Linked DNA regions of Daphnia pulex. The protein of the gene in region 1 interacts with the protein of each later gene in a pairwise test. Links are inferred from orthologs where the notes say so. Each region holds a gene or a part of one and is shown on either strand. Other genes may lie near its edges. The genes, in order: cleavage stimulation factor subunit 3-like and cleavage stimulation factor subunit 2-like.

What was found.
Region 2: the proteins of cleavage stimulation factor subunit 3-like (region 1) and cleavage stimulation factor subunit 2-like interact in a two-hybrid assay, tested with the Drosophila melanogaster proteins (2 studies listed by BioGRID). The link is inferred for Daphnia pulex from reciprocal best matches to the Drosophila melanogaster genes su(f) and CstF64.

What each region holds. Positions count from the first base shown.
Region 1 is NC_060019.1:11,046,195-11,056,120, forward strand, and holds cleavage stimulation factor subunit 3-like, read left to right. Parts: upstream 1-3,831; 5' UTR 3,832-3,982; coding exon 3,983-4,201; intron 4,202-4,262; coding exon 4,263-4,360; intron 4,361-4,424; coding exon 4,425-4,689; intron 4,690-4,754; coding exon 4,755-5,069; intron 5,070-5,124; coding exon 5,125-5,316; intron 5,317-5,375; coding exon 5,376-5,789; intron 5,790-5,866; coding exon 5,867-5,955; intron 5,956-6,019; coding exon 6,020-6,210; intron 6,211-6,273; coding exon 6,274-6,408; intron 6,409-6,474; coding exon 6,475-6,695; 3' UTR 6,696-6,754; downstream 6,755-9,926. Other genes in the region: uncharacterized protein LOC124191292, read left to right, coding at 945-1,887, 1,986-2,393, 2,581-3,170; retinol dehydrogenase 13-like, read left to right, coding at 7,726-7,796, 7,863-8,137, 8,192-8,283, 8,348-8,401, 8,460-8,628, 8,695-8,902, 8,966-9,062; GTP 3',8-cyclase, mitochondrial-like, read right to left, coding at 9,142-9,887. UniProt on the Drosophila melanogaster protein: Essential protein, may play a role in mRNA production or stability.
Region 2 is NC_060018.1:3,670,726-3,680,185, forward strand, and holds cleavage stimulation factor subunit 2-like, read right to left. Parts: upstream 4,769-9,460; 5' UTR 4,444-4,768; coding exon 4,392-4,443; intron 4,327-4,391; coding exon 4,248-4,326; intron 4,191-4,247; coding exon 4,010-4,190; intron 3,946-4,009; coding exon 3,552-3,945; intron 3,491-3,551; coding exon 3,325-3,490; intron 3,255-3,324; coding exon 3,032-3,254; intron 2,976-3,031; coding exon 2,859-2,975; 3' UTR 2,781-2,858; downstream 1-2,780. Other genes in the region: WD and tetratricopeptide repeats protein 1-like, read left to right, coding at 42-70, 143-351, 417-507, 580-690, 765-876, 934-1,232, 1,296-1,366, 1,439-1,861 and 2 more.

The DNA.
Region 1 (9,926 bases):
ATTGGCAGGCCTGAGTTATCACTGCAGCAATTCTGAAATAAAATTTAAAAAAAGAAATGTTATTTACCGGATATGAACGGAAACTCTAAAATGCGCTAGAAACTATTATGTAATAACTTTTACCAATTAAATATTTACATTTTTTCACTACAAAATGTTGTAAATCGTTAGGAAACTAAAGCAGTAAGAATAACGAATCGATAGTTCAGGTAAGTAAAATAAGCTTAGTTTTTCGATCCGCAAATCATAAAACACAGGATTTTACAACACCAATCCTTTATGAAACAACAAGCCTACATTCATTAATTTTTTCAATACCACTTGACACTATAATACTTTGAACCTTTTGATCATATTTATCAATGTAAATAAAGAACGAATTTTTTCACTTGGTTTTTCGGAAATCTTTAGCCTCTTAATCTAAATTTTGTAACAAGATATACTTCACACATGTGTTTGATTTACATTTGACGATACGTACTGTTATTTTATTTTTTAATATTCTAATCTTGTTCATGGGGGGGGGGGGGGAAATAGGTCATTTTACTCCGCAAGAAACGTTTCTTGTGAAATAAAAATGACGTCTAAACGGTTATCAATTGACAGTAGATAAAATAATGTCTTCGTTCCCAAAAATTGGTAAACAGACATCGTTCCGAATGGGATTGGCTGATAAGCTGCAATAACGTACTTTTCTATACCCCAAAATCGCTGAAACCCTTTCGTCATTCAAATTGTTATGTTACCATGGACTGCTAATGAAAAATCTAGACCAAGGACTTCCAAACGAGTTTTGATCTAGTTTTTACAGCTAGCGGGTCTGAAGGAAGAGCGTGGTCGGCATAAAAGAAGCTCGCAGTGTTCAAAATTGTGGCAGCATCGTCGGATCTCTCACCATTTGAAGTGCTACTTCCTATCGTTTATAACATAGGCATTAAGACGACATGTCTTATACACTGACTCCAAAAGCGACTTTCTTCCTGTTGGTTATCTTAACATTGACCCTTATTGAGAGCGCTGTTTCGGTTTCACTCACTAAACGCCATATTCCAGGCCGAGTTCCAGGTCGCCCAAGAAAGGTAGTAGGCGGATTCTCACCGATCGACGTGGACGATCCCAACGTCAAGGAAATAGCCGAATTTGCTACAAGTGCCATATCGGAGAGCAGCAATTCTGGGCCTTTATCACTAATCAAAATAGTCAAAGCTGAATCCCAAGTAGTGGCCGGAAGGAATTATAAATTGATCCTAGAGCTCAGTAGCGTCGTTGACGGGGCTAGCGAGACCGAAGAAACCCTTTGCGAAGTGATTGTTTTCCATCAGCCATGGACGCAAACACGGAAACTGAGCAAGTCAAACTGTTTACCAATTAAAGTAATTCATTCTTGGACCGAAGCTCGTGAACTGGGAGCTTCTGTGAACTGTCAAAAACCACAAATCGAAGCTGTTCCTGACACTCCGGCGATGATGGTCGGTGGCTTCTCGCCGATCGACACCGACGACGCTTCAGTCAAAGAAATGGCTAATTTTGCTACAACTAGAATATCAGAAAGCAGTAATTCGGGGCCATTAGCATTGATCAAAGTTGTAAAAGCAGAATCGCAGGTTGTAGCCGGTAAGAATTACAAACTAACTCTGGAGCTGGGTAGTGCTGCCGATGGAGCCGTAGGAAGTAATCTTATTTGCAATGTACTCGTTTTTCATCAATCGTGGACTCACACACTTGAACTGAAGGAGTCCAATTGTTTGGCGCCGATCGAAGCCGAGACTGACATAGTAACTGAAATACTGCGAGCTATTGACGGACGTGAAGACTTGTCGAGAATGGCTGGTTATCTAAATGCGTCTCGTGAAACCTTGATAAAAGAGTTTCCTCTCACCAGTTCTGGTAATTACGAAAAATGTTCATAGTTGCATTTTAGAATTAAGTGAATTTAATATTAAATACTAACTATTTATCCTATTTGACTGAACGGGAAAAAATAGACGGAAGAAAATTGGGCTACACGTTATTTGCACCCACATCGATGGCTTTCATGATGCAAATGCCGCAAGACGCTGGCGATCCTCTCGTAATGGACGCCGATTTTCGCCGGTCGGTACTGATTCGCCATTTTGTTCGCGAGGATGTTTCGTCGGACGATATAGGGAAATTGGACAAGCTCGTCATGGCCGACTCTAACGAGGTTATTTTCACAAGCAAGAGCGCAAATGAATTATGCAACCTACCTCCAATAGACAGCGATGGATCTGAATGTGAAGCATACATCCCGTCATGGACGTTCCAGCCAAATTCCGGCAGATGTGAGAACTACGTATACGGTGGCTGTTTCAAGACGAAAAATCTTTTTGAAACAGAAGAAGAATGCCAAGCCGCCTGTGATCCAGCAGTCCGTAAGTTAGTTATTTAAATAAAAAATTATTAAACATTAAAAATGAAATAAAAACATATTTACTGGATTGATTTGAACTTCTCTAAAAAAAAATCGGCTGCAAATCTTCCTAAATTCAATTAAAATTTGTTTTAGGATGATTTTACAGAAAAACTGAATCACTGCTTATTTTGACTTCTTTTTTCTAGATCCTTTAACACAGCTGGTAAACGAGACAGAAATCCAACAGGTAGCCATTCAATTGGAAAAAGATTTGGGAACCATTTACGCCATTGATCGAGTTTTCATGAGTGGTGATGAAGTTGGCGAAATCCTTCGTATTAAACATCCTAGTCCCGGTCCATTTGGATTTTTCGGAATGCCAATTGAAATACAACCAGAAGTCAATGAGAACATTCCTGCTAGAATCACTGGCGGATTTTCTACTATCGACGTGGACGACGCCTACATAAAGGAGATCGCCGATTTCGCCACAACCGCCATATCTGCAAATAATAACTCAGGACCTGTCCGATTGATTAGGATTATCAAAGCAGAATCGCAGATTGTGGCCGGAAAAAATTTTAAATTGACTCTTAAACTTAACAGCGCTATCGACGAAGTTGATTCCCTCCTGTGCGATGTGGTCGTATTCGATCAATCGTGGTCACAAACCCGACAATTAAAAAAATCGAATTGTTTGTCGATAAATACTGTCGTTTTATGGAACCAAATTCTCAAACAGGAAAATGACTCGTTACCGAATTCACAAGTTACAGAGTTACATAGTTTGTTTTAGGTAACCGTTACCAAATAGCAAATACAAACTTGGTCAACGTACGCTGACGAGGTTGTGCCAAACTTTCTAGTTCCTTGGTTTAAATAATATACCCCCCCCCCCCAAAAAAAAACCCCACACAAACACATGTTCATTTCTCGATAAATGTTTGTTTAAATACAATGCTTTTCACACCTGCAATAATTGTTGAAATTGCTGCTAACGTTGGATAAAGTATTTCCCTATTACAACATTAATTTTGGCAGATAACAAAACTAACATTATAGTATCATCACCAGGGTTTAACCTGTAAGAATTGCTGGTCACGTTGCAATCATCTTGATTTGAGTAGTACAATTCAAACTGAAAATAAATGAAACTGATGTTTACCTACAGAGATGGGTGCCATTTTCGAGGAAGTATAACAAGGACAGACCTGTGCTCACGTAACTTCACATGAAATAGACCCTATCCTAGAATGAATGATTTCTGCCATCTGTTTGTTTCTCAAATCTCAGAGTTAATGGCAGAACCGCAGAGGCAGAATGCAAATGCACACACCCTGCTATATTATTTTTGCAAGTTCTCTCACTGACGACTGACTCATTTCTGAGCAGTTCTCTTCCTTCGAATTTTCGTACCAACCAGCCGTAACGCCATCTCTGGAGCTTGCCGGCAGGCTCTTTTGCAGGCTTGATGCTTGATGCAGACGATGTTATTTCAAAAGCAGTAAGTTGTCAAGTGTGACTTGTTTGCGATTTTGAATGGAATTGTAGAAACGTGGTTCATCAATTTATAAACAATTTTCAGCTTACTGGCATTAAAATAAACAAATGGCTGATAAATTAGCAAGAGCCGAGAAGGCTATAGAATCGAATCCATTTGATTTGGAAGCTTGGGGTCAAATTTTGCGTGAAGCCCAAATACGCAAGATTGATGATGCTCGAACTTACTTTGAACGCTTGGTGGCCCAGTTTCCGACATCAGGTCGTTATTGGAAAATGTACATTGAACAAGAAATGCGAGCAAGAAACTATGATAAAGTCGAAAAGGTAGCAATTAATTTAGCACATTCTAATGAAGCCATTCAATCTTGCTCCTCCCTATTTTTAGCTGTTTCAACGATGCTTGGTCAAGGTTTTAAACATTGAACTGTGGAAATTGTATGTTAACTATGTGAAAGAAACCAAAAGTGCTCTGCCCAACTACAGGTACAACAAACTTGAATATACAAACACTAAATATTGTTTTCTTTAATCATACCAATGTTCACAGAGAAAAAATTGCTCAATGCTACGATTTTACACTGGACAAAGTTGGGATGGATATTCAGTCATACAGTATTTGGAATGACTATATTCACTTCCTCCGTAATGTTGAAGCTGTTGGATCTTATGCTGAAAATCAAAGGATCACGGCTGTGAGGAAAGTGTATCAAAGGGGTGTAATCACTCCAATGCTTAACATTGAACAACTATGGAAGGATTACATTGCTTATGAATTGGCTATTAACCCCATGATTGCTGAAAAGATGCAACAGGTACAGTTTTTTTTTTTTTAAACCTTACCCTAACACTTTTTAAACACTTATTTTCAATTATTTAGGAGCGCAGCCGTGATTACATGAATGCTAGAAGAGTTGCCAAAGAACTAGAGGCCTGCACTCGCGGTCTTAACAAGGCTATGCCTTCGACTCCTCCATCCAATCATCCGGAACAAAACAAACAGGTGGAACTGTGGAAGAAGTATCTGGCTTGGGAGAAATCGAATCCCCTCCGTACGGAAGACCAGTCACTACTCACTAAGAGAACAATGTTCGCTTTCGAACAATGTCTCCTATGTCTGGGACATCATCCTCATGTTTGGTATGAAGCTGCCCTTTTTCTACAGATTAGCACAAAAACTCTTTCAGATAAAGGGGTAAGTTAAAGCACCAATTTCTGTCAATATTCTTAAATTTAAAGATTCTTTTTAGGATGTTACGGCTGCCAAGAACTTAGCTGAAGAAGTCTCAAATATTTATGAACGATCAATTAATGGGCCCATGTCACATAATAGTTTGCTTTATTTCGCTTATGCGGATTACGAAGAGGGACGAATTAAGTACGACAAAGCTCATCAGATCTATACAAAATATTTGGAGCAGCATGACATCGACCCAACTTTGGTAATTTTATCACTTTTTACATTGTACATACAAACCCCTTATGTTTAAAACATTCGCAGGGTTATATTCAATATATGCGATTTGCAAGGAGAGCAGAAGGTATTAAATCGGCTCGACTAGTGTTCAAGAGATCTCGCCAGGATCCCCGCTGTTCTAGCCATGTTTTCGTAGCTGCTGCCTTAATGGAATATTATTGCACCAAGGACAAAAATATCGCCTTTAAAATATTCGATCTAGGCCTCAAACGTTTCAAGCATCAACCTGATTATCTGCTTGCTTATGTGGAATTCTTGACCCAACTAAATGAAGATAACAACACTAGAGTTCTCTTTGAAAGGATTCTTTCATCAGGTTCCCTCACTTCTGAAAATTCGCTTGAAATTTGGAACCGCTTCCTCGAATTTGAGTCTTCTATTGGTGATCTTTCGAGTGTAATCAAAGTAGAAAAAAGACGCAACGCCGTTCTCGACAAGGTATTTTTTATTTTATTTTTTTTTTCATTTAGTGTTGTGTATTTTTGGATTCATTTCAATTGTGTTATTTATTTTAGCTTAAGGAACTGGAAGGTAAAGAAACAGCACTTCTTATTGATCGGTATAGATTTGGAACCCTCTTCCCTTGCTCAGCCGCGGATTTAAGGTGAGTTTCTTATGTTACTTGATAACTTTTTTCTAATATTTGTTTTTAATGATTCTCTTAAAAGGGCTTTGGGATACTACGAAGTAGCAGAGCTGAGTAGTAGTCAAAATGCTAAAAACCTCCTTGCTAGAGAGGAAGAAAGTAGAAAACAAAGCACAGAAGCGGCTGATGTTACCATGTACAAGCCCGATTTTTCTCAGATGGTTCCGTTCAAGCCGAAGATGCAATGGACCCCCGGAGAACACATTGCGCCTGGTAAAGTTTCTACAAAGTATTTCTAGATTACAACTTAACGAATTCTTTGATGCGTTTGGACAGGAGGAGGATTTCCGCTTCCACCTGCAGCCTCTCAACTGTGCGGAATGTTACCGCCTCCGCATTGTTTCCACGGTCCTTTTGTAGTAGTCGATCCAGTAATGGAGCTTATTAAACATTTGAATATAAGCGAAACAAGTAATACTTTGATTTCCCTTGGCTGTATTATATTTTTAAACATTAACATTTATTGGTGTATTTTAGGTTCTCTTCTTGCAAATACAGCGGAAAATTCTAAACTATTTGACATGGCTCGAAGTGTTCATTGGCTTCCGAAAGATACGGGTGTCGATCGTCCACAAAAAAAGAGAGGGGTGGGTGAAGAGTCTGAAGATGAGGAGCCGATCGCCATTAGTGGATCTCAGCCTGGTGGACCGCCACCAAATGATATTTACAGGAAACGACAACAGAAGCGAGTCAAGTGATGAAAGAATTTACTTGATCAATATTCAAAACACAAATACACACATAATTGTTTACACCATCCATAATCAAATCATTTCTGATAAAAGTTTTCTAGTAATTTTTGAACTCGCCACAACATGACTTCATTAGTACCAGAACAATTTTCTGGTCTGTAAGGGGGGCCTACTACTATTTCATTTAGCACTAGTAAACAACCATAATTATTTTCATTCACTGGAATACGGCTTTCATGAAACCATTTTTTCAGGGCATCTTTCAGCGGCTTCCAATCTTCAGTATGTTGGGAGCTAGCTCCAGGTCCTTGCATTCCATTGTTCTCTTGCGTAAGGGTTCTGGTATTGGTTGATGTTAATTTTACAATCTTGAGATACTTAATTGAATTTCCAATAACTAATTTTATGCTTCTTTCTTCTTGGTTACAACGATCGACCATCATAAAAAGACTAAAAATGAAAGATTCAAAAGAAATGTTAAACTATGGCTTCATATGCATGCATTGTTGTCTTAAACTTTGTGGTTTCTACTAACCTTCCACTTATTGGATCCATTGAGTAGATTTGTCCAACAAACTTGACATGATTAATTGTTAAAACTTCGACTCTGCTACCGACTAAATTTATATAATTAGCCGGACATTTTTCTAAGGGATATTGTAACACACATCCTTCTGCAAGTTCCATTTTCAAAACTGTTATGATGCGAACGATGACCTAGTGCTCCACCATACGGATAAAAATTGCAACTAAAACTGCCTTATTGCAACTTTTGCTATCCTTAAATTTCTTAAAATACATTCATTAAAAAATGATTTCTCAACCAGCTTCAGTTTTATATTCTAAATTTGGACTGGTTCAGACGAAATATAATTTAATTCGTGAACAATCGTGAATCTGTTTGAAATCATGGTCATGGTTGGGGTTGCCCATGGGCAACCATCGCGAGCAGCCGAAATAAATGTAAACAGTTGCTTCGAATTTTTACCTTCTCAATTTTCTATCGAAACCTAAAAGGTTTTAGAAAACATAAACCATGAAGATTCCTGCACCTTATTTATGGTTCTCTGCTGTTGGAGCATTTGGTGGCGGGATCATACTGGTCAAGTAAAAAAAATTGTCTAAAGTTCAGCAAATCTTGCTGCTAGACCTAAAATATTCATGTTGTTTTAGAGAATATTTCAGTGGAACTAGATATGAAGGTAAAGAAAAATTAGACGGAAAAACAGTGATTATTACTGGGGCTACTGATGGAATTGGAAAGGAAACAGCTAAAGATCTAGCTAAAAGAGGAGCAAAAGTATATATGGCCTCTCGTGATATGAAGAAGTGTGAAGAAATTAGAAAAGAATTTGTCCTTGAAAGTGGGAACAAATTCATCTATTGCCGAAAATGTGACCTAGCATCACAGGAATCAATCAGACAGTTTGCTTCAAGATTTAATTCTGGTATTTTTCTTATATGATTCCCTTTTGTGGCAAATGTACTTAACTATTTTCTAGAGGAATCAAAGTTGCATATCCTTATTAACAATGCCGGGGTAATGCGTTGTCCTCGTAGTTTAACTCTCGAAGGTATCGAGATGCAGATAGGGGTAATATACGATACAATAAAATTGAGTTTCTCCAATATCTCAATACAATAATAAATTTTTACAGGTAAACCATTTTGGTCATTTTCTTCTTACCCATCTGTTGCTTGATAAACTTAAAGTAAGAATTAATATTTAAAAATGATGTCATACCTATTTTAAAAGCGCTGTATTAATAGCAATCCGCACCCAGTCGAATCATTAACGTTTCAAGCGTGGCCCATTTAAGAGGAAAAATAGATTTTGATGACCTCAACTCGGAAAAAAAGTACGATCCTGCAGCAGCTTACGAACAGAGTAAGTTAGCCAATGTTCTGTTCACGCGCGAACTAGCAAAACGCCTGGAAGGTAAAATAATAAATTAATTTCAAAACTATATTTTAAAAAATAATCTGATCAATTTAAAATTACCAGGAACCGGTGTGACCGTAAACGCCTTACACCCAGGAATTGTGAATACAAATATTGCTCGTCACATGGGTTTTGTCAACAGTTGGTTTGCAAGCATCATTCTTAAACCACTTTCCTGGCCTTTTATTCGAACGCCCCCGAGAGGAGCGCAGACAACTCTATACGCAGCACTTGATCCCTCACTTGAAAAAGTAACTGGGAAATATTTCAGGTGACTTCAAATAATTGTGTGTTAACATCACAGCCGTTGTCTAATTTGGAACTGGAATATTAGTAATTGTGCAGAAGCTGAGGTTTCACCCCAAGCTCTGGATGATGACGTTGCTCGAAAACTCTTCCTTACTAGTTTACGATGGACACGTCTAAATTAGAAGAAAATAAAAATTGCAAGTTAACTGTCTTTAAATTTGCATTTTCCAATTCGTTTAAACAAAATAGATAATTTTAAACTTAACAACGGAATGGTACATTGTCATTTTTTGTACGATTAAAGTCACCACGAGTTCCTCCCGATTTACTAACCAATTGAAGATTACGAATTTCAGCTTCTCTAGTCACCGCTTTAACCATATCAATTATTGTTAAGCAAGCGACTGATGCAGCTGTTAGAGCTTCCATTTCAACACCCGTTGGACCTCGTGTCACTGCTTCACTTTCTACATTAACGCAGTGATTGATTGAGTCAAGGGATAAGTGAACGCGAAGTTGATGAAGAGCGATAGGGTGACACAGCGGAATCAACTGCGAAGTCAACTTTCCGCCGCTGATGCCTGCTATTTCGGCAACTTTAAGAACATCACCTTTTTTTATTTGATTTTCAGCTACTAGATGGAAAGCTTCAGGTCCAATCCAAACAGTAGCTTGAGCTCTAGCTCGTCGAATGGTCCATGCCTTGTCACTTACGTCTACCATTCGAGCCTGCCCTTGATGATCAACATGAGTCAACTGAACCTGTTCACTGTTGACATTTGAGGTCGCAGATTTTGATGGTTCTTGAACTGGTTCATTTTCATGTGGAGCTGGGGCATGAAACATAGAAGATACTTGAAGGAGTGAAGCATTAGTTTCTCTGAACTTCGTCCACGGATCATCTAGGTAATTGTCATGGTTGTTCTGGTTGTCTTCTTTAGTGGTGCAGTAAAAACGGACGGAACTCGTAGCTATGGAACCCCCTGTCAATAGACCATTGGGATCACCTAAATGTAAACTTGTGTCCATAAAGAGTGCCAACTACC
Region 2 (9,460 bases), on another chromosome or scaffold:
AATGTATGTTTGTTAAATTTTGATACTTATTGTATCTACAGGTCATCAAGGCAATATTTTTTCTGTGAAAGTATGTTGAGAAAAATTTATTTGCTGAATAATTTTTTCCAGAAAATGTAACCCTTTTTTCTAACATGAATAGTTCATGCCACAATCAATGGATGGCCTAGTAGCTAGTGCAGCTGGAGATGGACGAGTCAAAATCCATTGGGTGGACCATGCACAATCTATGAATTCCACTCCTCAGACTAGTCTGCAGTGTAATTGTCATGTTGGTCGTGTCAAGCGTTTGGCGACAGCTCCTGATATCCCTTACCTACTTTGGAGTGGGGCTGAAGATGGGACAGTGATGTGAGAACAATTGTTCGTTAACACTTTCCATGATAAAATATTAATACAACGCGATTTTTCTTTAGGCAATTTGACTTGAGGACACCTCACACATGTACGAATGGTCCGTCCAACATTCTTATTAATTTATTAAGCCATATGGGAAAACAGGCTGAAGTAGGCTACGCGCATGGGTTAACCATTATTTATTCCCTGGTCTATTAATATTTTATTTAAAATATTCTTCAGGTAAAATCGATTGCAATTAATCCCATTCGGACCGAACAACTTGTCGTTGGAGCTAATGATCCTTTCATCCGCCTGTATGACAGACGAATGATTAAAATCACATCTGTTCCGGTAAATAGAAACATTTTCAACGATTTAGCTTTCTTAATGTAACATTATGTTTCTGCGCTGCAAATTGATTATAGTTTTCCGCAGAAAGGCCCAACCGAGGTAGGCAATACTCATTGGCAACTAATTCACAAAGTGAAGAAAGTCGTTCAGCTATTCCGCTTGGATGTGCTCAATATTTCGCTCCGGGTATGAAAAAAAAGTTACCTTAAAGTTTGTCATTAAAAAAGCATATCTATATTTAAGGTCATCTGCCTCAGAAGTTGGATGATTACCGTCGCCGTTTTCGCTCGTTAGCGTCGACGTATGTTACATTCGATCCGTCAGGTCGCTATCTTTTGGCGAATTTAGGAGGCGAACAGATTTATTTGTATGATTGCCTAACACCAAATCCCCCAATTACTCAAGTGCCTCTTTTGGGTAAAGAACCTTTAAATGGAATTAAAGGTTTCACGTTACCCCCAGACATAGAACAAATAAAAATTCAGGCCAACGCGGCCTTCCAGCAACGGCAGTACACTACAGCCATTGGATTGTACAGCAAAGTATGCGTAGCATCATTAAATTGTGGCCAATTAATGTTAATGTTTTTTCTTCTGATTTTACAGGCTCTCATCAAAGCACCAAATTCGCCAGTCTTGTACAGTAATCGCGCAACAGCTTGCATGAAACGTAATTGGTAACGAAAGAATTTTTTTTTTAGTTTTGTGGCGCCGTGAATGTGTTTTGATCGATTGTTCTGAATAATTAGGGACGGAGACACGTATGCTGCTCTCAAGGATTGCATTAGTGCATTGAAGATCGACCCTAACCAAATCAAACCCTTTCACCGGTTAGCACGCTGTCTATTAGATCTTGGCCAAGTGGTTTTGGCCGACCAGGCATTCAAATTGCTCAGGGAAAGATTTCCTCAACAAGCCAATAGTTCCACATTCAATACTCTTCATGTCGAAGTCCAGAAAAAGCTTGAGCTTGAAGAACAACGTTCCGAGAAGGAAACTGCTCGGAGAGGAGAGTTGGATGATGAATCTGACTTATTGGAAGATGGGGTCAATTCTCCGAGTTTAACAGAAAACGAAAAAAATTGGAGGGCACAATACTGGGACTACTCCAGCCGTTATTGCGGTCATTGCAATACTACCACTGACATTAAAGAAGCCAATTTTTTTGGAAAGTGAGTTTTGTTTAGTTCTCTACAAAATTGGAAAAATAATATTTAACCAAATGTTTGATGTCTATTAGCGACGGGCAGTATATTCTAGCTGGATCGGACGACGGATGTTTTTTTATTTGGGATCGTAACACTGGAATCGTTGAACGAGTGCTGCGTGGTGATGAATCGATCGTTAATTGTCTTCAGCCTCATCCTTTCACATGTATGTTGGCCTCATCGGGGATCGATTCGGTGGTTCGCATATGGTCTCCGCTACCACAGGTTCAGATTAAAAAATTTTATTTTTGAATTATTTATTAGTCAACAGTATTTAATATAATTTCATTCTAAACCGTAAGGAAAGAGTCGTCTCAGATCGTTTGGGGAGTGTGGTACTTGACGCGGAATCAGCAGCGATGGCCAATCAACGACGCATGAATGCCGACCCTTTCGAAATGTTTCTTATGAACATGGGTGCGACGGCTGAGGATGCCATGCCGGATATTACAGTTCGCCCTCGTCGTCCAGCCTCATCTCCAGACGATGATCAGGACGAAGATCCTCGCGCAGCCATCCAATGTCGACAGAGTTAAAATAAGGGAATATATCTATATATTTTTTCTTTATCATTCGATTGTTAAGTTTTTTTTTGCGCTGGCTCCCCAATTCGATGAATTCTAAGAAATCCATGTTAAACTTTATCTCGCCTTGATGATTATACCTAACCTGTTTGTTACTTATCGAATAGTCATTGAGATAGCTTGATTCTCACAATTATTGGAGCATCAGTCACCATAACGAAGCAGCAGTTAAATGCCAATTGTACAACAGGTTAGTTTTCTAGTCTTCCTACTTTCTTCCTTTTTAGTTATTTGTTTTCTCTTTTTTTTTGGCTTCACAATTGCATCTGTACTACACACATTTGATGACAAAGAGACGATTCCATTTTGCAACCGAAAATTTGTTGCAATTTATTAAATCCTTCGATTCTGTGTCAACACAAATCATATTGGAACTGTTAACGATTGCTTCTAGCAATTTGCTCCTTAAGAACCATAATGCTCTGGCGCTGCTCTGGTGGAAGTAGAGCGATTTGCTCATCAGACAGTTGAAGGACTTGCATAATCAGAGCAGCCTAAAAGAAACCATCAAAATTATTATCGCAAACGAGCTTTTTTGTCTTGAACATACTTTTTCTTGATCTGAAGTTCCTGGCCCCAGTGCACGTCCAATAGCTCCTGCTGTAGGAGCAGCAGCAACTGGCACATTAAGTCCACCTCCCCCGCTAGGTAAAACAGGTGGAGGAACGTTTGGCTGAGATGCTGGAATAGGAGGTACACCGGGACCCGGCCTGCTCATCCCTGCTCGTGGGTCGCGTGGACCGGTTGGACCACTGGAACGCGGGTCACGCCTCCTAATGTAAAAATGAAATGCTGTTAAATCAGTATGAAGTTCCTCACTAAAATTGCAGCTCGTAAACTTACGAATCCATCTCAGGCATAGTCTGTGCAGGCCTTGCGGGCGGCTGTTGCTGCATCGTTGGTGGCAGTCCTATTCCTCCTACAGCCATGGGAGCGGCCGGTGGTACTCGCAAATCGTGGTCGCCTCGTACCATTCGAGGATCAGCATGACGTAAATCCAAATCTTGACCTAAAAACTAATGTCAGTGCATGCCTCTTGCAGTGACGCTAGGTCACTGGTTACAAAATACCAGTAAAAGGGCGATCTCCAAGGAGTCCCTGTTTGGGACCCGAGGTTGAAACCCAAGGTTCGTTACTTGGCATTGGAAAGTTGGATGTTTTGGCAAAGTGCTGTCCTCCCATTCCCACGTCGGTCTGGCCCGGACCCTTCTGCAGCATGCTAAGTGCAGTGCTGGGGTCAACTACGCGTATGACGACCAAGGCTTGGAGTAGGGCATAGGCAAGTTGCGGGTTCTGCAAAAGCATCTGGCGGGCTTCATTGGGGTTATTTTGCATGCACTGTTTCATCTGTTGCATCAGCTCAAACATCTGCTCAGGTGGAAGAGATGACACAGCCTTTGAAATCATTTCAGGTGCTTGAGTTGGGTCAACAGCATCACCATAGGGGCTCTCTGTTGTTTTTTCCTAAGTTTGAGTATGCTAATCTTTAAATTATTTTTAAAGAATAATGTACAACTTAATTTCAAACCTGCATTAGACTTTGCATTTCAAGCCGCGATTTTTCTGTGCAAGCATTATCAACTCTCAATGTCCTTCCAGCTATTTCATAGCCATTAAGGTTTCTCATTGCACAAAGAGCTGTCTCCTGATCACGATACTCACAGAATCCATATCCTTTGGGCTTTCCAGTTTCACGATCATAAACAATCCTTTATATTAAGAAGTTTAGGAAGGATACAAATTACATTTATCAGATGTAAAATTACTTGAATGAAACTACTGGCCCAGCTTCACTGAAAATATCTTTGAGTTTCTCTTCCGTGACATCATAAGGAATGTTTCCCACTAAAAATAAAAAAAATAGAAAATGCATCACACAGCAGACACAGTGATCTAAGATTGGCTGTTACCAAAGACGGATCGCAAAGATTTGTCAATTACAACTTGGGGATCGGTAGCCATTAATAAATAGTTAAGTTGGTTTAATTCAAAATATGATGATCAATGTTAACGTATTTAACGTAATTAAGGCAGAACTGGATGAGACGCTGCGTTTCCGAATCGAATATCGGAAGCAAACTTCTGTCAAACAGCAGACAACTCAAGCATCATCACCTTGGGATTTCGTCTGTTGTGATGCTGAGGTGGTGGCTTTTTGGTGAAGACTTTATACAAATTTGAAGGGGAGAATATTATATTACGTGAGTAACAAAGTTATTTGCCTTTTATTGTTGGTTTATTTCAATTTCAATTAAGTGTGTCAACGAGCTAGAGCGGACATTCTTATAGACCTTTTTCACAATGCGGAAAGTCGGGATTTTCCAATCTGGCAACGCCGTAATCGGCCATTTTAGATTTCATTAATTTTTCCCTGTGTAAATTCCCATAAGGAATCGGGGTACCTTTAGTTTAAATTAATTTTTTAATTATTGGTGTCTTACAGCCAATTTATTTTTCATCGATCGTGTTCCCCGATTGATGGGTAACATTTTCATATATGGTACATTTTACTTGCGGTTTATATTAATTATGTAATTCGAACTTTATTAGGTTGTTTTGATTCTGGAATGTCAAAACAGACATGTTATGTGCTTGCCTACGGTGCTGTAACTTTTGCTTCTCAAAAGTGAATGTTAATGGACATCTAGAATATGGGGTTTCAAAAAGTAGGAGACAGGTATATGGCTGCTGAAAAGAACAAATTCGAGAGAAAAAGGTTTATAAAAATATACAGCAGAGTATGCAGTCAAGATTTTACTTCTGGTAACATAGTAAATTTTTTAAAGTAATTTCTATGATTGAGTCATGTTTGAAATATGTCTCTGAAATATGTAACTAAGTAACATGTTTTTAACTGCAGCACCAACATCTAATAATGAGCAAAATTCCATTGGGATTGCTACTGTTGAAAGAATTAGTCGCTCTCTAAGAAGGCAGATTGCTGGGACATGTTCAACGATGTAAGAGGATTGTATTTTATTTATATTTATTATGTCATTTATAACATTACTTAACATATCTCATCATTTTCTTCCATAGACACACATTCCACAAGACACAGTTACTGATTTCATGAAAGATACAACTGTACCTGAGGGTACAATGCAGAACACGTTTGATGAACACATCAACACATTGGTGAATCAACTAACAATCAGAATCCGCAAAACAGTCATTGGTTCTTCGAATAAAAAATATTGAAAAATGAGAAATAATTACTAGTTGAAGCAGTGTCACGTCACGTCTTCAGTATTTTTATTTAAAACTTTATTTCATGTTTAATACAATGTTTCACTCGAAAAAAGAACTGTGAGTTTTCTTAAAATACTAACGAAATAACGCTAATGAATCAGGTAATATGGTGAAAACGTCAGAGTATGGAACAAAATGTTGAAGAAATCAAGTTGAATTAGTACATTTTAAACTAATTTACCCCAAATACTTTTAAAGGAATTTTTCAGTCCCTCTTTGCGATTAAACTTAACAATAGACAAAAATTAATGCGTAAATCAATTGAAAAACTCGAATCAGTAAACCCAGTTTCCTTTGTTGTTGATGCCCTCATCAGGAACTGAATCAAAACAAACAAGTTCAAGTGCTGATAATATAATAAGTAGTTAATGTTAAAATGTAAAAATACATGAAAATGTTACCCATTAATCGGGGAACACGATCGATGAAAAATAAATTGGCTGTAAGACACCAATAATTAAAAAATTAATTTAAACTAAAGGTACCCCGATTCCTTATGGGAATTTACACAGGGAAAAATTAATGAAATCTAAAATGGCCGATTACGGCGTTGCCAGATTGGAAAATCCCGACTTTCCGCATTGTGAAAAAGGTCTATTACTGACTATCGTCTTCGTCCGTGGATGCTAAGTGCTGTCACTAGGTGGCTAAATATTTCAGTGTGTTTAGGGATTAAACTATTCAGCCCTAGTGTGTTCGAGGGATGTATTCATGTATTGGAATTGGAAGGAGGGTCTCCATAGTTTTGAGACGAAAAACCTATAATCATTCTTTTTCTTCCGAGACGCTGGCCGAGAAGGTTACTCTAGACATCATTGCTGGGTACTTTCTTTCCTGACATTGTTCTTCATAAAAAAAAGGTAATTCCTGCTTTTATCCTTAATGTGAATGTTTTTTATGGATAACATGGCCTTAAACTTATACTTGCAAATTCCATGTGGCCATGCCCTGCTGTACACTATTTCAAAATGTCGTCTCTTGCTGCATGCTGCACGTTTTGTCACACGTCAAAGTACTTTAGAACAGTGCAAGTAATAATGTCGAGTAACTTAATAATCCTAAGACTTTGTTACCACATAAAAATACCGTGATTGAGTTTCTGATAGAAATTGAGTTTTTTTAATTACAAATTACCACACTTTTGTAATCAAAAGTTACACGTTAGTTGCAAATATCTTCTGTGATTTGTTTTGCGAATTTTTTCTGTTGAGAGATGCACTTGAATCGAGCTTGCGAAAACATGCATTCTAGTTAATAATAATTAGAAAAGTTTATTTTACTAATCTTACTTATTTGTTGGCAGGTTGATGGAGATTTTTCTCAATGTCTAGTGCCAAATCTACAAGATGCCTTTGATGTATCATGTTGCGAGATGAAAATGGGAAGAAAACAGGAAATCTGAAATGGAAACAATTTACTTGAAAGACAACTAAAGTGGGTTTGCATTTTACTCAAACTGTAGCCTGTGTATTTGTTCTTTGCTTAGAAATTTCTTGAGTTGAGTATAAAATTTTGATTTAGATAACATTTGACAATAACTGCTTCAAATAAGGGCCTTTGTGAAAAGTTTTTCATCAGCTTGTGTAAAATTGTAATTTTGTTAAACAGTAGCTTTACTCTAACAGAACTGAATTTCCCTTTTTATACTAGTTTGAAAATGTTCTTGGTTAACTGATATTCCTTTGCATTGTAGATTCCTCGGGTCAGTTTGGCGTTGAAGCTGTTGGTGGTGATGTCTGGCGTACAGTGGTGTGGCAGTCATTTTCTGATTGAAAGTTGCACTGAAAGTGAAATGGATCTTCTGCAGACCTGCAGTTCAACTGACTTCAATTTACCATGTTGGTGTCCATGAACTTTTGTGTGAAATAGTTGGTGTTGCCTGATGGTCGTCTTACATTTTGGTGTCGTCTCTTGCTACATTTACCCACGTTAAGGTAATGATGGATGAAAAATTTTATTTTATTATCGACTCGGAACTTAATCTCTTTTCTTTCGTTTCAGTTCGATCGTGTGCCGCCGTTTCAGACTTGATATATTGTTGAAGTTGAGGAGTTGCTGAAATTCAAGACTGATAAATCAGTAGATAATTAAAAATGAAAATCTATTGTCCCTTTTCCCTAAGTAAACGAAATGTCCTGTTGGTTAGTTTGAAAACCAGGAGTGTTATGATAGAATGGGGAATTGCAACGAGAAAGAGAAGTTAAACCACCAAGATTCTTTTATTCCGATGAACTCTACCGCCTTCATAACGATTCTTAAACATTTCGCTCTTAATCAATATTATTACCTCGTTAAAAAAATAAATTGTTGTAATCAGAATTGTTTTCTGCTGTATATTACTATTTACTATTACAAATCGCCTTATAACAAAGTCGCGGCTTGTCCTAACCAATTAAGCCCCATGCGCTTAAAAATATTACTTTTACATAATTTCCTGTCCAAATTTTTATTATTTTTTTAAATTTTCCTAAAAACAACCACCATTTATTATTTTACTAAGTCTTTTTCGCAAAAATTTGGCGATGTACATTGTCCATACCTTTTTTTTTAATAAATTAAAACAATTTTTATATTCATCTAATATTTTTATTCATTTTAACGCAAACACATATATTTTATGGCCCCCAGGGAGGGGGGGGCCTGTGACTTTCCCAACCGCGATAATAACATGTGCCGTTATTATTTTGTTGGTGCAGAAAGCCGGAATTTAATCTAGCAGTTGTCGACTATGTCAAATCTGACATTGGGTCAGATTGCCACAATCATACTGCACAAGTAAAAACGCAAAAGACGACAGACGAAACCAATTCAAGTAAGCAACTCACTGGCAGAGCAAAACCACAAATAAAAACGGATAAAAATTTTTAAAGTCAGCAACACAAGATACCACTTGCAAAGCAAAAAACAGTTAAAATTTTCAAGTCAGCAATTTCGAAAAATTCTGGCACAGCTACTTCAGGATAACTCCAGCACAGCTACTTCTGGATAACACTGGCACCACATCCTGCAAACAACGGTTGAAGTTGTCTTCATCACACTTTTCACCATCTGGCTGCAACATGAAGCGTGGTTGTAAGACCTATTGAAGAAAATAAAAAAATTACCATCGGGAAACACAAGTGTGTACAGAATCACACAGGAACTCATTACGATAAAAGAATAGCAGGAGTAAGACTAAACAGAACAACTTTGATGTCTCAAATTTTACAAAGGAAGATTTACCATTGGCAAGGTATTCAAATTTCCACGGTAGCAAAGCAAATTGTTCTCTAGTCATATGAAGTAAATAGTTGTAGGAAATCTGAAGAAAATAATTACTTTTGCTGTTGCATGGGACGAGACGTGCGACTGGGTACAGGCAGCGAGACACACGAGGCACGACATTTCGGCAAATGTACAGGCATTTTCAATTCCGATGGCAAAGTGGTATGAGCAATCACCTGAAAATGGACACATCGAGATTTTACATTCCGTTAACCTAATAAATTAACAAGAAATACCTTTTCATTTTGGGAAATGTCACGACCGGCATCCCATTTCGGCTGCGTCAAGTAACATAATGGCCGAATTTGGTCCCTGATGACACTCCGGACGGACACCTATTTTAGCCACCTAGCGACAGCCAATTGTATTGCAGCCAACTCCAGTAAACCAGTACTCCACCGACAACTAGAACCCCAATACCCCAATATTTTAAATAATAATTTTTAAAAATACCCGACAATAG